2 linked regions of the Coturnix japonica genome follow. The protein of the gene in region 2 interacts with the protein of the main gene of each other region in a biochemical or structural test. Links are inferred from orthologs where the notes say so. Each region holds a gene or a part of one and is shown on either strand. Other genes may lie near its edges.

The links. The genes of interacting proteins can lie anywhere in the genome.
Region 1: of the proteins of CASP7 (region 2) and PANX1, one has a biochemical effect on the other in vitro, tested with the Homo sapiens proteins (2 studies listed by IntAct). The link is inferred for Coturnix japonica from reciprocal best matches to the Homo sapiens genes CASP7 and PANX1.

The regions. Positions count from the first base shown.
Region 1 is NC_029516.1:166,061,717-166,068,482, reverse strand, and holds part of PANX1 (pannexin-1), read left to right. Parts: intron 1-4,117; coding exon 4,118-4,257; intron 4,258-6,766. UniProt on the Homo sapiens protein: Ion channel involved in a variety of physiological functions such as blood pressure regulation, apoptotic cell clearance and oogenesis.
Region 2 is NC_029521.1:24,419,235-24,427,016, forward strand, and holds the end of CASP7 (caspase-7), read left to right. Parts: intron 1-1,099; exon of another isoform or gene 1,100-1,267; intron 1,268-1,403; coding exon 1,404-1,552; intron 1,553-2,498; coding exon 2,499-2,627; intron 2,628-3,095; coding exon 3,096-3,271; intron 3,272-3,514; exon of another isoform or gene 3,515-3,549; coding exon 3,550-3,688; intron 3,689-4,411; coding exon 4,412-4,635; 3' UTR 4,636-6,039; downstream 6,040-7,782. UniProt on the Homo sapiens protein: Thiol protease involved in different programmed cell death processes, such as apoptosis, pyroptosis or granzyme-mediated programmed cell death, by proteolytically cleaving target proteins.

The DNA of each region.
Region 1 (6,766 bases), on a different chromosome or scaffold from region 2:
TAATCCTCTTTATAATGTCTATGCTTATTATATGACATAACAAACCCCTTGGAAAGCTTTCCAGGACCAGGAAATCATCGTGTGCTAAGTAAAGACACTTAAGAAACTTGGGTATTACCAACATGAAGGTTTAGGTAGCACTATGAGCTTATCAGTTGTGACAGGTTGGGAAGTGCCTGACCACAGACCAGCCCACAGCAATGATATGTGTCTGTTAAAATGAGAGTTTGTAGCATTGAATGAGTATTATTGTGTCTAATGATCTCGGGTTGCCCCTACTTTGCTGTGCTGGAGGTGCCCATAGGTGGGAGGCCCTACCTTGTGCCATGCATACCATGGGATTAATGTTCCCAGTGACCGTCTTGGGTTTTCCAGCTGGTGACAAAATTCTGGGCACCGGTCAAAACCCACGAGGGCCATTCCCCCTTGTCCCATCACTATCAGACTGTGCAAAAAGTTGGTCTCCCTCCTGTTTATAGGATCCCTTCAGGTACCAGAAGGCTTCAGTAGGTTCCCCAAAACCTTCTTTTCCCCAGGCTGAACAAGCCCAGCTCCCTCAGCCTTTCTTCACTGAGAAGGTGCTCCAGTTCTCTGGGCATCTCTGTGGCCTCTTCTGGATCCGCTCCAACACCTTCACATCCTTCTTGTATTGGGGCCAGTGCAATACTCCAGATGGGGCCTCAGAAAAGCAGAGTAGAGAGGAACAATCTCCATTGCCCTGCTGGCCTCTGTTGGTGCAGCCCAGGATATAGTGGGTCTTCCAGGCCACAGGTACTCACTGCTGGCTCATGTCACCCTGGATGTTCCAGCGATTTGCTGATCATGGCATTTCCATGGCAGCACATGCCGTGCTACTCTTTGGCACATGAAGAGCCCTCAAGTGTAGATCTGAAGTTACTGCTGTCAGGGACAGGCCAGCACCAAGAGCTTCCAACCCAAACCTGTAGCAACATTTGCTTCATTGACGAGTCCAAATTGTCTTTGGGTGAACATCTTCATCTGTCAGCAAGGAGAATCTTTTCTGCTCAGCTTTTACAGAACCAGCCTTTCATTTCCTACAGAAATGATGGAAAGCTGTTTTGGGGACCAGAACTTGTTTTAAAGCACCGTGGCCCTCTGATATTGCTGGAGGATTGGGGTAGCAGTAGAGTAGCAGTGGAACAAAGGTTCGTGCAACAGCTCTGAGATGTTTCTCTTTCTTTGTATCTCATTGGTGGGAATTTCAGTCTGAAATTGTGTTTTTTCTCCGCATTATTAAACAAAACTTGTCACACTAAAGGCCTTCCTGGTCTCCATGTATCTCCCTCCAAGATTCCTTCTTGAACACAGTGACTCCTTCACCCAGGTGCCACTTTGGTCCATAGGAGGCATCTATAAATCTAATAAACACATTCCTTCTGGTCTGCTCTTAATACATGCATGCACACCCACACATCCAGTTTCTTCTCCTTTGGCATGCATCAGAACATCATTTCTTGTATTTTTAAGTGTGAGGTTGTTTGTTGTGTTTTAATACTGGTGTGAAGAGTGTGTGTTGGATGGTGCCTGGCAGTCTGTTCATTGTGTACACGCTGCTTGATTTTCCTGTTTGTGGTTGCTAATGTTGCTAATTCTTGCTGGATAAACTCAGGTATTTGAATATCATGGCTGGTTCATTTTCCCAGTTCGACATTATGGTAGTAATTAATGGCTGGGTTTTCATCTGAGCCTCTGCAAATCTCTTCCCAGTGATTGCGGTGCAGTAGGAAGCAATAATTACTCACTGAATCTATTTAACTGCAAACCGTCTGACCTCAGTTCAGGAAAAACATTTCAGTGTGTGGTTAACATTGATTCTTGGTAGCACTCTCTTTTAGTTTAGTTTCTTAATTAGATGCCTTGGTGGTAAGAGATGTGTTGGGCTGCTGGGGACAAAACCAGTGCTTCCTGCTGGTACCCACCTTGGTGAGGGATGAGGCACAGCCTGGGTGCCTTTGTGCCCCTTTGGAGGGGAGAAGGAAGGGAAAAAAGGCTGTAAAATCATGATGACTTTCAGATGCATTGAGTAATCTGTGTGCAGTGGAGATAATGCACAAAGATGTAATCTCTTTGCACCACGGTTAGTGCAAAGGTGTACTTACATTAACAGGACAGCACTAAGTTAATGAGACAGCAGGGTGGTAACTGGAGAGTCCCCATCTCCTGCTGCTGTCTGTCTCTGGGCTGCTGGATGAAGGTCTGAAGGTTCCAAAGTCCATGCTGAAGTGCTGGGGATCTGAAGAGCTGAGCTTGCTGCCCTGGGATTGCTGCGCTTTCTCTGGTAGGAAGCTGTGCCTGCACCACCTTGGAGGCTGCCTTGTGTATCACTGATTTAAGGGCTCTCTCACTTTCAGTGATTTCCCACCCATTCATGAGAATGAACACATTGCATGTCATTCTTCTTGCAGATGCACAGACACAGCCAGGACAAAGCATCTTGCTGAACACTTCTGTTGCTTGCCCCATGAAAGGGCCACTTGTTTCCTGCTGCATTCAGGGCACAGCCAGCAGCAGGGGGTTTGTTAGGGAAAGCAGGGCATAAATGGACCCCATCAAGAACAGAGACACTCCAGTTGCATCCTTCTGCAGGCTATTTCTTTCACAGATAATGGGGATTCTCTGCAAAGCAGGAACTTCTGAAGCTTTGGGAGAGTGCAGGAGCTCATCTTGTGCCAAGTTAGTTAAACCACGTGAGCTCTGGGCTGATAAACAGCAACTTGTTTTCCATAAGGGAGGCTTGTGACAGATCAGACCCCATCATTATGATACTACAGCCTCAGAAATAATTGCCATAGTGAGTCATAAGGAAAAGCTTTCATTTATAATGCCCCTAAACTGTGCTACATTGTAAAAAGGCTGTACAAGTTACAAGGCTAATGCAGTCATCTTCTGTTACAGAAGCAGTTCTTATTCTCTAGGGGCTAAAGTAGCAAAGGGGCACAAGAATCTTATACAGAAACATACTCTCATAAAGCATAAAGTGATGCCGTCCAGCACTAACTTTGGGAAAAGGAAAGAAAAAAGTAGCAGTATTTCCCTGTTTTGCTCTTTTGACATTTATATTGTGTTGGAGGAAGCGTCGGAGGCTGTTCTTGGCATAGAGTTCCTCAAGGAAGGGCCATCTCCACTCTGTGTAATCATCTGGTGAAACAGCTGTAGTGTTTCAGCATCTAGGGAAGCCCACTGGAAACTTTACATTTTGTTATGGCTGTCAGAGCTTCCAAAGGGAAAACAGAACACTCATGCTGTGTTACTGGCTCTCACCTACGGGGCCACTGATGCTACATATCAACTAAACACCCTTCCTCCTTGATATATGTTTCAGGAAGACTTAGCTGCTGCCTGTAAGCTGGTCAGTGCAGAATTTAACCCTAAGGCTGAGGCTGTTCCTGTTGCCACTTAGTGCCTCGATCTTACATTCAATTGCCAGAGCAGCTGGAGAAGTGCTGGGAGTGAGTGGAGATGGCTGTGCTGTACCTGGCCTTGGTCAAAGCATGACCCTGTGCTGATGAAAATGAACCTGGAGACCCTTGGAAGAGCCTGGGGGCCACTCCTGCTCTGCCAGGAGTTACAGCAGGGCTGACCTGAACCCAAAGTCAAAACTCATGCTCAGAGGCAGAATAAGTGTGGGACACACCTGCCTTTGCATTACTGCACAGACTGCAGGGCTGGGGTAGTGATGTTTGAGGTTTTCTTTCAATACATGTGAGGGGTGAGCACGTGGGATTGAGGTGCTATGCTGTGGTAGCTGCTTCCTTGAGAAACCAGCTTTATCTGTTCACACTTTTCATCTGTTGGCTCTCCTTTGGCCAGTATGAGGATAAGGGATCTGGGAGGTAGCAGTCTTTCCCCCAGAATTATGAAAGTAGATCTAGAAGATGTTTCTAGTGTCTGTCTCAACCTTTAGGGGACATCAGAGGGTCCCAGTGGGAGTTCTGGGTGCAGTTCTGTGGGAATTTGGTGATTCTCAGAGCTGCTCTGCTTCCTTCTCTCAGTGTAATAGCATTGGATGCAGCAAAATCACAAGTGTGAGCTTTTTCTTCTAGGTTTGATTTCTTTCATTTTTTGAGTGCGTGATCCCTTCTGCTTTGTTTTCCAGGTGCCCAGATAAGCTGCTTTGCCCCCAGCTCCTTCTCCTGGCGCCAGGCTGCCTACGTGGATTCCTATTGCTGGGCAGCAGTGCAGCAGAAGCAGCCAGCCTACAACAACCTGGAGAACATTCCCCTCTGGCTCCATAAAGTACGTACACAGGTCTCCTCACAGAAACACTGACCACATGTAGAATCCTGCCTTTACATTCCCCTTCTCATTCTTCCTCTTTTGCCTAAAGAAGCTGTGGATGCCCCATCCCTGGAGATGCTAAACGCCAGATTGGATGGGACTCTGGATAAAGTGATATAGTAGAAGGTGTCCCTGTCCTGGCAGGGTTTTGGAACTGGATGATTTATAATGTCCCTTCCAACCCAAACCATTCTATGGATTCCATGATTCTTCTCTGCTGTTATCCCTGGCTTTGACTTGACTTACTGTTTTTTAGAGAGAATGTTTTCTTTTTCTTACATCCGAAGGGGTAGAGCTGGAATAGACATTTTGTGCTTATAAACAAAGGATCTGTTTGCTAGAATAACAAATGTCCCCAGTTATCTGACAAAAGAGTAATGTTGATGTGTTGCCCTGGAGATTGGTGCCCAACATGTCTTTAAAGAACAACTACTTTAACTCAGGATGCAAAACAGAGCAGCTGACTTAACACTGTATCAAAGCCTTAATTTCGGAAAGCAGGATAGTAAAAACATTTGATATTTTTATTGTATTATACTTGGCCAGCTGGAGAAAGTTGGACTCAGGGCAGATATGGGAGAGGTGAAGTGTATAATGGACAGCAGCATGTTTCAGTCTGCTTTTTCAGGTTGTTCCCATTGAGCCTTTCATTGCTGCAAGCAAAGCAGCATCACTGACTGCTCAGATAAGTGGGTTCTGAGATACCTGAGATGGCTCAAAGGGGTCAGCTTAGTTTTGATTTGGGTTGCAGATTCTGATTTAAATGCTTGGGCAGTGCTGATGATGAAGTCAGAAACGCTGCAGGAGCTCTGTGGTTGTGTGGGTTTTGTTGTGTGCTGCCCTTTTATTACCTTGCCCTTTTATTACATGTTCAAGCCACAGCTTTGTGTCCCAGCAAATAACCTTAGTGGCCATAGGGTGAGGACCTGGTGTTAGAGGCAGTTTGGCTCTGGCACCTGCAGTGCCTGTTCTTCTGCGTTCTGCTGGCACATCCAGTGCCTCAGCTTTTATTGTCCAGTCAGCTGGTTGGATCTCCTTGGGCAGACTGTTCTGATTCAATTCTTGCCCCAGAGCCCTGGCTGTAAGGGTTTACTACTGCCTTCCCCAATGATTTCCACTCATAACTTGGACCTAGAGGACCTTCATTTCATGAATGTTAAAGCCAGAGTTGTTGGCTTCCAACCTGAACTTGTCGTTGCTCAGTGAGTGTCCTAGCTCACTCTAGCCAGGCCTGCAGAGACTGAAGCTGCTGGGACGTCAGTCTGCTTGGGCAGGTGGGGCCTCAACCTGCAGAGCTGGACGCCTTGCTCCCTCCCTCTGTCAAGGAAATGCCTTCTTGTTACCTTCTCTCTTTTAGTTGAACTTTATGCTACAGTTGATAGCTGGCAATTGCAGCAGTAAGTCTCTTAGTTTGCCAGCTATGGCATAAGCCATGTGTCATACTGACATGACACAGACCATGTTAATTTGCTGACTGGTGATGTCTCAGGAATCTCTGCGCGGCTCTTATTGCCACAGTTCTTCTGTGGCAGATGGTGTGTGATGTTTCCTTGGGAAACCCTGCAGGCTGGCAGTGAGCAGTGAGTCCAAACAGATGAGTCACAGCTTGTAACTGGGCTGGGATGCCTGGGCCTGACCTCTGCACCCATGCTTGGCCCCCAGCCCTGCCACTGAGCCAGCTGTCAGAACTGCACATGCTGCTTGGAGGCCAGCCAGTGGGATGGGATGGGATGGAAGGGAATGGAATGGAAGGGAATGGCTCATTGGAAAGACCTACAGAGACCATTAAGTCCAGTTGCCTGACAACTTCAGAGTCAACAAAAAGTTAAAGCATATTATTGAGGGTGTTATCTCTCAAGTGATGCTAAAGGATACAGCAGAGGTGACCTGCTGTTGCCACTGCTGAAATGCACCACCCACTGCCTCACTGTGCTCACATTCACTGCTGTGCCTCCAAAAAGTTTCAGCCAGCATCCATAAATGTCAGTGGGGGCACTTCTTTCTGCATGGGGGAATTCAGTGACACACCTTTGCTTCATCCTCACTTCCATGTCAGGCATTTTTTGTCACACTACCCCCCTGTTGCCATCTGTCACGCAGCAACAAAATATAATGGGATATTGATGGGAAGGTTCAGCCTCTACTGCCATCCCACCAACACCCATCTTTGTAGTCATGGGCGGAGTAATAAAAGAAGAGGCAGCCCTCATCTTCACTCCCTTTATGCAGTTTGCTTCTCATCTCTGAAGATGTTGGTCTGTTTTGGTAGCACATAACTTTGTTTTGAACTAGAATGGAAACAAGCTTTTGGCCACCATGAGTGCCAGTCTAGTCAAGGAGAAGACTGTACTGTAAAGCCTTTTAATCCATCATACACAGAGAGGTTTATACAGGTACAAACAGGAGACCAAAGAGCATTATCTTAGTGGCTCTTGGTAGGCACCAAACATAGCAACCAAGCAAGGTG
Region 2 (7,782 bases):
GTTTTAAAATTGAATTGCCATGGCATTTGAACATGATGAATCATCTAGAGATGCTTTATTATGGTTTCCAGTTAGTCTTGCCCTTTAGTAATGAAAAATAGGACACTTGGAGACTCCAACAATTGCTAGAGAACAACAATTGTTAAGTCAGGAAGATAAGAAAGTACATTTCCTAAACAACATTTAATCAATCCACAGCAATCTCATCTGTGAGGACTATTAGTGAAGCAAAAAGCTTGGTAATTTTCTAGAAAGATGTCAAAGTGGGAACAGTGAAAGTACTTCATTGACATTAATGGTACAAATCTAATTTTGTTAAAATGTTGCAGTACTGCTAGTTGTGCTGAGAAAATAGGTTATGTTTTCCTCTTATACTTCAGCAATGAGTACTACTGGAAGCAAGATGCTGATACCTTCTGCTCTTTCCCAAGTATTGTTTCTAAGCAGGCCTGCTCCAAGGCTTGCTTGTATTTCTGAAGTTTCATCAGAGCCTTTGAAGGCTTTCACTGGCTTCAGTTCTGCTTGTAGAGATCATCTCAATGTCAAAAATCACTTGGCTGGACAAAAAAGTCCACCTCTAAAAGCAAGCACTGCTGAGTTCCTCATGCTTGTACCTCAGATGTGCATGCTGGTTATCACAGATTCATTCTATAGTATTTAATTTAGAATAAATTTCTGGGTAAAGTCCATGCTGTATCTCACCATCTTTTTCTAATTCAATCTAAGACTCCATCACAAAGCAGAAAAATCACTGCACAGTTATACTAATGGAGAATGTCTATAGGATTTTCTTGTTTGTTTATAATGAGGTTGAGATAGTGATGACGTCACACTGAATGGCACTTAGTTTTTAGCATAGCTTCAAACTATCGATTGACAAACCACGCTAACAAATGAGCTGTCAATATCTATAACCTTTATCAGTACAAAATACCTACTGCTCTTTATCACTTTCAGAGAATTTAGGGATGATTCAATAAACAGATCCCATTATGCCACATAGTAAATTGTATCTGCTTGTAATGCTTGCAGTAGTCATTAAGGAAGATCTGTCTGGGCTTACATGAATCACTTACAGTAAAATTAAAATAGTACTTACATTTAGAACCATAGTTTGCAAAAGACTGCTGCCAGCCTGATATTTGGTCATGGTCTGTACGCATTGCAGTTGATTGCAGCTCACTCAAGAGTGATTTTACCATCATCAGTATCCAAATACTGCACGGAAATCATGAGACTTAAGCCATGAGTTAATATCTCTACATCTCTGTATGAAATACAAAGAAAAAAAAATATAAGAGAAATAAAAACATCAGGTAGTGCTGCCCCAATGGTATGAGTTAGAATAAATAAGCACATTCACATGACAGGTCATTAACAGTGTTTTCATTTGATTCACACAGGAAAAAGAAGAATGGAGAAGAAGAACAACCAAAGTCCACCCTCAGTAACCAGTACCGAATTGTTACACCCACATTCCAGTATAATATGAACTACAAGAAGGTTGGCAAATGTATAATTATAAACAACAAAAATTTTGAAGACAAAACAGGTAACGTTCTTTGTCTTACTTGAGAAGGGAGGTTGGACCACACGACCTCCAGAGGTCCTTTCCAACCTAAACCATTCTTCGATTCTGTGATTCAGTGACACTTATTGCAGATACTTTCATTAATCAATAAACCTGTTATTTTTAGGACATGGAATTTTAATGACTATATTCACTTTATTTGATAAGCAGTTGTTCATACTGTTTGTTCCTGTTCTTTAATCCTTATATTAGAGTAGCTCTTTACAGCTCCTTTGCAGTAGGTGGTTAAAAAAAGTACATCAGCTTGTTCTGCCAACTTTTAACTCAACTTCTGTCCTAGAATTTAAGTCTGCATTGTTAAAACCTGAACTTTGGTATCTGCAGCCCATGTTATGAATTCTCTGTCTCTGAGCTGCACCTAAAAGCTATAGTTGCACTACAATAACAATTGCTGTGCTCTGTTCACAATCCAATGTCAGATGCACGTTCCAGATTGTGTACAGTGTTTTGAAGCAGACAGATATCTGTGATATAGCCAACTTTGTAGACTTTTTTTACCCTCTACAAGCTGGGCTTACAAATTAAATGAAGTGCTTATTCCAAAGAATTTACGTCAATTTTCTTTATTAGGGTATCATGGGGAATTGTTTTGAATAATTATTCCTTGAAGAGCTTTGTGCATATGTTACTCTGCATAACCAAAAGGAGATAGAATTTTCCACAGAGGTCCCATGTTGGATATAAACCAGCATTTTCCAGCATAAAATACATGTTCACATTGGACCTTGCATTACTTTGCATTAAAACAAAACACAGTTTGTTCAGAATGCCAAGGATATTGTCAGAGGATTGTTTTAAACTCATGTCTCATTGTAAATAAGTTAAGAACCTAAAAGTTGCCTTTGGACATATAAATTATTTTAAGTCATGTAACATGCAATCAACTGTACTATTTCTTTTCTGGTAGGAATGGGTATACGCAATGGTACTGATAAAGATGCTGGAGATCTCTCTAAGAGTTTCAGAAGCTTAGGTTTTGATGTTCACACATACAATGACCGAAGCTGTGAGGATATGAAAACATTACTGAAACAAGGTAAAAATTTAGAATAGAATAATCTATTGTGTAAAGGACCTCTGGAGGTCACCTAAGCAATGCTCTGCACAGAGCAGGTCAGATTAGAACAGAGTGCTTAGGCCCCATGAAATGGAATTTTCTCTAGAGAAAGATTCAATTTCTGAACAGATTATCCTTAATTCCCACAACTCTTCCTCCTCCTGTGTAAATTCAGAAATGTATAGTTTTCTTGTCACAGTAGATGACAAATCTACTAAAATAACTGCATGTAGTTAAGAGTTCAGCTTATTGAATCAAGCAGGTCGAACTCTATGTTCATTTATTCAAGGTATTCATCACATTCTTAATAAGTGGATTTATCTACTCCATTTTATAACTTCCAGTAGAGGCCCAGTGTTTATTTAGTCTCAGAAAGATGTGTTTGATAAATATTATGTTCCATTTAAAATGTTGCCTCCTTTTGGCTAAAAATTATTTGATTTGTAGCTGCTGAAGAGAATCACAGTGATGCTGCTTGTTTTGCCTGTATCCTTCTAAGCCATGGGGAAGAAGGCCTCATTTATGGCACCGATGGACCTATGGCTATCAAACACCTGACTGTACTCTTCAGAGGAGACAAATGTAAAAGCCTTATAGGCAAACCCAAATTGTTTTTCATTCAGGTAAATATTATATCCTTCTTCTGCAGTGGGGAAAATGTTATGGCACTTATGTGGTTGTCTGTAGCTTCAAAAGTGGATAAAGGCTCTGTCTCCAAATTACTGCATTCTGCTAAATTCTTTAGTCTCCCTGAGTAGCCTTGCTTTCTACTTTATTGCCTCTCGTTCATACAAAGTATTGCTAAAAATTGCATCCATTAAAAAATTTTATAAAAAAACTTTATAAAACACTTCATTTCTCCTTACTGGTCAAGTTGTCTTCATCTTCACTGCTGTTTCAGGCGTGCCGAGGCTCTGAGTTTGATGAAGGTATACAAACTGACTCTGGACCTGCAAATGACACTCTGGAAACAGATGCCAATCCTAGATACAAAATCCCAGTAGAAGCAGATTTTCTGTTTGCATATTCCACAGTGCCAGGTAATAAATAAATAAATAAATAAATAAATAAATGAATAAATGAATAAATAAATAAATAAATGGGGGAGTAGTAGAGGCAAGAAGCTTAATAATTTATCCTATCTTCAGTTGCCAATCAACATTTTTCATCTATAATAGTTACTCCGATAAAACATGTTATCTTTATAGAACTGGCTGTTTCTCTTATGCATCACAGCTGCAGTAGTACAACCACTAGTGTCCTAGACTGACCCTCACTGATGGACAAAATGCTAAGGCATGGTGTATGCTTGGCCATTTTGTTCCATCCACTACTTTTACAAGAGCTGAAATGGGAGGAAGCCCAAATCTGGCAGATGACAAAGCACAGGCATTACAGATGGCAGAGGAAGGTGATACCAGCCTTTGATAGGCTAGTTTAGTTACTATGTGGAACTTAAATACAAGAAAAGGATGGGCTATACCATGAACTTTTGCAAAAATAAGCTCTATGAAAAAAATAGAGAATGCTACCTCAGTATGCTGAAGGTTGGAGAGGTCATACATGTTATTTTCCTTGTCAGTGAAGCAAGATTTGTGACAGGAGTAACAAGAATTGAAGTTTTTGTGTGCAGTTACTGCTTGTCCAGAATCTTTCACACAAACTCCTACACTTCTCTCTAATGTTCCATTGTTCAGCACAAAGTCATAAGAAGGAAGAGGGAAAAAAAAACGTTTTTTTTTTTTAAATCTCTTCCCTGTAAGGTTATTATTCCTGGAGGAATCCTGGAAGAGGCTCTTGGTTTGTGCAGTCTTTGTGCTCTGTGCTCAATGAACATGGAAAACAACTTGAGATCATGCAGATCCTCACACGGGTCAACTATGTGGTTGCCACGAATTTTGAATCACAGTCTGATGATCCACGCTTCAGTGAGAAGAAGCAGATTCCTTGCGTAGTCTCTATGCTCACTAAGGAACTTTACTTCTGAAAGCATATTTTAATACAGCCAGTAATGTGAGATCAGGATAAATTTTGGGGTGAACATTTGATTATAAATTGCAGTAACACAATTTGTAATAACAGAAATGTTGATACTAGATATACATGTTGTATAAGCTGGGGTAACTGACAAATGGACAATATGCAATATTTTTAAGACCATCTAAATGCTGTGGATCAATCCTAGAGCTGATTTCTCATTTGTATTAGAATCATAGAACTCCATGATTCTATTACAAATAATTTTGATTTCTCTTAGTGTAGCTGTCTTGATTTATGGGTGTTGAAGATGTTCTGAGAGTCAGTTACCTGACCCAAAAGGTTTATTCCAAAAAAACAGGATGTAAAATCTGTAAAGAAAAAACCATATCAAGGAAACTCCATCTTTTCTTTCACTACAATCTCATGGTATTGTAACTTCCTTGGAAATTTCTAAAGTCCATCATACAACCAATATGTCCAGAGATGAAACTGACATTGTAGCTATTTAAAAGGGTACTTCTTAGTATAATAAATCTATTTCCATTTTAGAACACTCTTAATGAAGAAAAATGGATGCACTGTGTTTAATCTGGAAGTCAATTTAGTTATCATTCTAGCATAAGGTTAATTTTATTAGCAGGTGATTCAGCTGAATGGTATGGAAATGTATCAAATAGAAAGATTTTCATTTTGGTTTTTCTAAAAGTGGGCAAACTAATTAGATAATACCTTATTAAAATAACATTATGAAGATTTTTGCCTTGTAAATGACAGCTGAGAACTGCCCAACACAGTAGTAGTGCAGTTTCTCTGCTTGCAGAAATACGAATGCTTGCATGTTGATTCATAAGTTTTGAGCCCACAAAAAGTTAATGTCTAACTTTTGTTATTAAACATTAAAATTTAACACCGAAACAACAGAATTATGTATTTCAGTAAGAAATACACGTTTAGATTTTACTTCTATCCGTGAGGAATTTCACCAAGACCAGAAATACTTCCTTGAATCAGAAACCAGAAGTGCCTTTTTAGTTAAAATATTGTCTTGATTTTGTATTTTGGAGTTATGTCAGTGATGCTTATATTTCTACTTTTTATATTCTTTTTAAATATGATAGCTAGCTCAAAAAAGTAATTTTTATGATTTGATTAGACTGGTAAATGATTGGTAAATAACTGGTAAATGGGGTTATTCACCCCTTTCCTAGTTAATGTACACTTTATTTTTTTAAATCTAAGAAAACGGGTGTGTGCTGAGTTGTCTCTTTATTGATTATATTTTCTTACAGGAAATGTAGCATAGTAAGGCATATCTTTTTCATAAGTCAAATTTTTTTGAATTAAATAAATTATTGTTTTGTGGAAGTCTTGAACATAATATCAATAAAGACCTGTTTTTTTAAATTTCCTATGAACATCTGCCTGTTTGTCATTTGATCTGAAGTGAAAACCAACCAAAATGCATCCCAAAACTTTTCTCAGCCTCAAATGCAGTTGGTCTTTTGCATCCTTATCCTGATGAGATTTCCTTTGTCATTTGGGAAGCTGGCATTTGATCACATGGGTTAAGTGGGCCAGATCTTTTCATAGAGTAATCCAGAATTATTGAAAAGATTTAAATGGAAATCTCCTGACTTGCCAGCCCTTAATCTTGTCCAGTGCAAAACATGTTTGTAAACATTACACTGTACAGTGCTCTAGCAGTTCATATGAAAATATTCTTATTAATTCCTGCAAATAGCTCTATCTTAAACTATTTTCTAGCACTGGAGAATTACCAGAAATGTTTTACCATGAGAAATTTATCAATTCAACATTTCCAGTATTGAGCTCTTACATTTTACTGCAGTTCATTTGTAGATTTTTACTAAACTAATTCTGCTAAGAAAGTTACACTGGCATCGAAATCACCCTTTCATTCAGGCATGTTGTGGTTCTGAAGCCACAAAACCTTGGGAACAAAAAGGGAGCAAATAAGAGTTCCAAAACAGAGCACTTGAGGTTTATGAAATAATACCAAGAAATATAACAGTATAACAGTTAAGGAGCAGGCTTCTTCTCCATGCGGTTCTTTATTCATAAAGGTTGTTTGAGAACAATCTTGAATTATTAAAAAAAACTATTACCAATCTATCTTTACTTAGAAGTACTGCAAAAATGTAGACATGGCCAACTTCTGTCAAGTGTAGCAAAAGGCCTTCAGCATCATTCAGAATTGCTTGCAATTAAGATGGATCATTAAATACCTTTGTCCCATTGCCAGGGTTCATGTGCATCTCACCACGCTGTAGCTGCCTCACAAATAGTCCCTGGTTCAGCTTTGGCTGGTGAGGTTCCCTGTGAGCAGTGACAAGGAATAAGAAGTGGTTAGCATTGGTTAGTTTACTCTAGCAGTAGGAAAAGCTTCTTTCCCCAATTTGATGTGATGTCTTAAAAAAGGGTGGACAGAGCAGGTCTTTACCAGATCTTGTTGTACATTTACTCTTATGGACACTAAATATGGACAGCTTGGGAATTTCCAACTAACAAGTGAAGCAGTAGCTGTATCCATAAGAAGAAAGGCAAAACAGTAATGTTATCTGAAGCTCTCTAATGCAGCATGCAAATCGGTACTATCAGCTTTTAAGAGATCTCTCCTGGTAGACCAAAGGTTTCCTGGAAAAAAAGAAATGCTAACATAGAACAAAGGAGCACAGCAATTCTATATCTGATTTACAGAAAAGGGAAGAAATAAAGGCTGAATCTTAAGCAACTCCCAGGCTTGTCCAGTACGTGAAGTATACAAAGACCAGGCATAAAATACATGAAGACACTGCCAGAGAGGAAAGCAACTTGGAAAGATATCTTTGAGAGAAAAACATTATTCCCTTGTGTAGGGGCCCACGTCTCTGCTAGATGGAGCATTACTTTAGATCATGTCCAAGAAGCATTAATATTATTTAGCCTGCAGGAACACCTTCAGAATAAGGAAGCCTGACCCTGTGACTTGAGCAATGCCAGATGACTGAATTGTGACTTATAAGCTTCAGGGCATTTCAGTTTATTTCCCATTCAAATTTAAAAATCTTTTTCGTCTAAAAGCATTTCTGTTATAGCAGGAATAGCTGAACAGCTAAAAATCATTCTCATTAATGACATGCTGGATGTCTCTGGA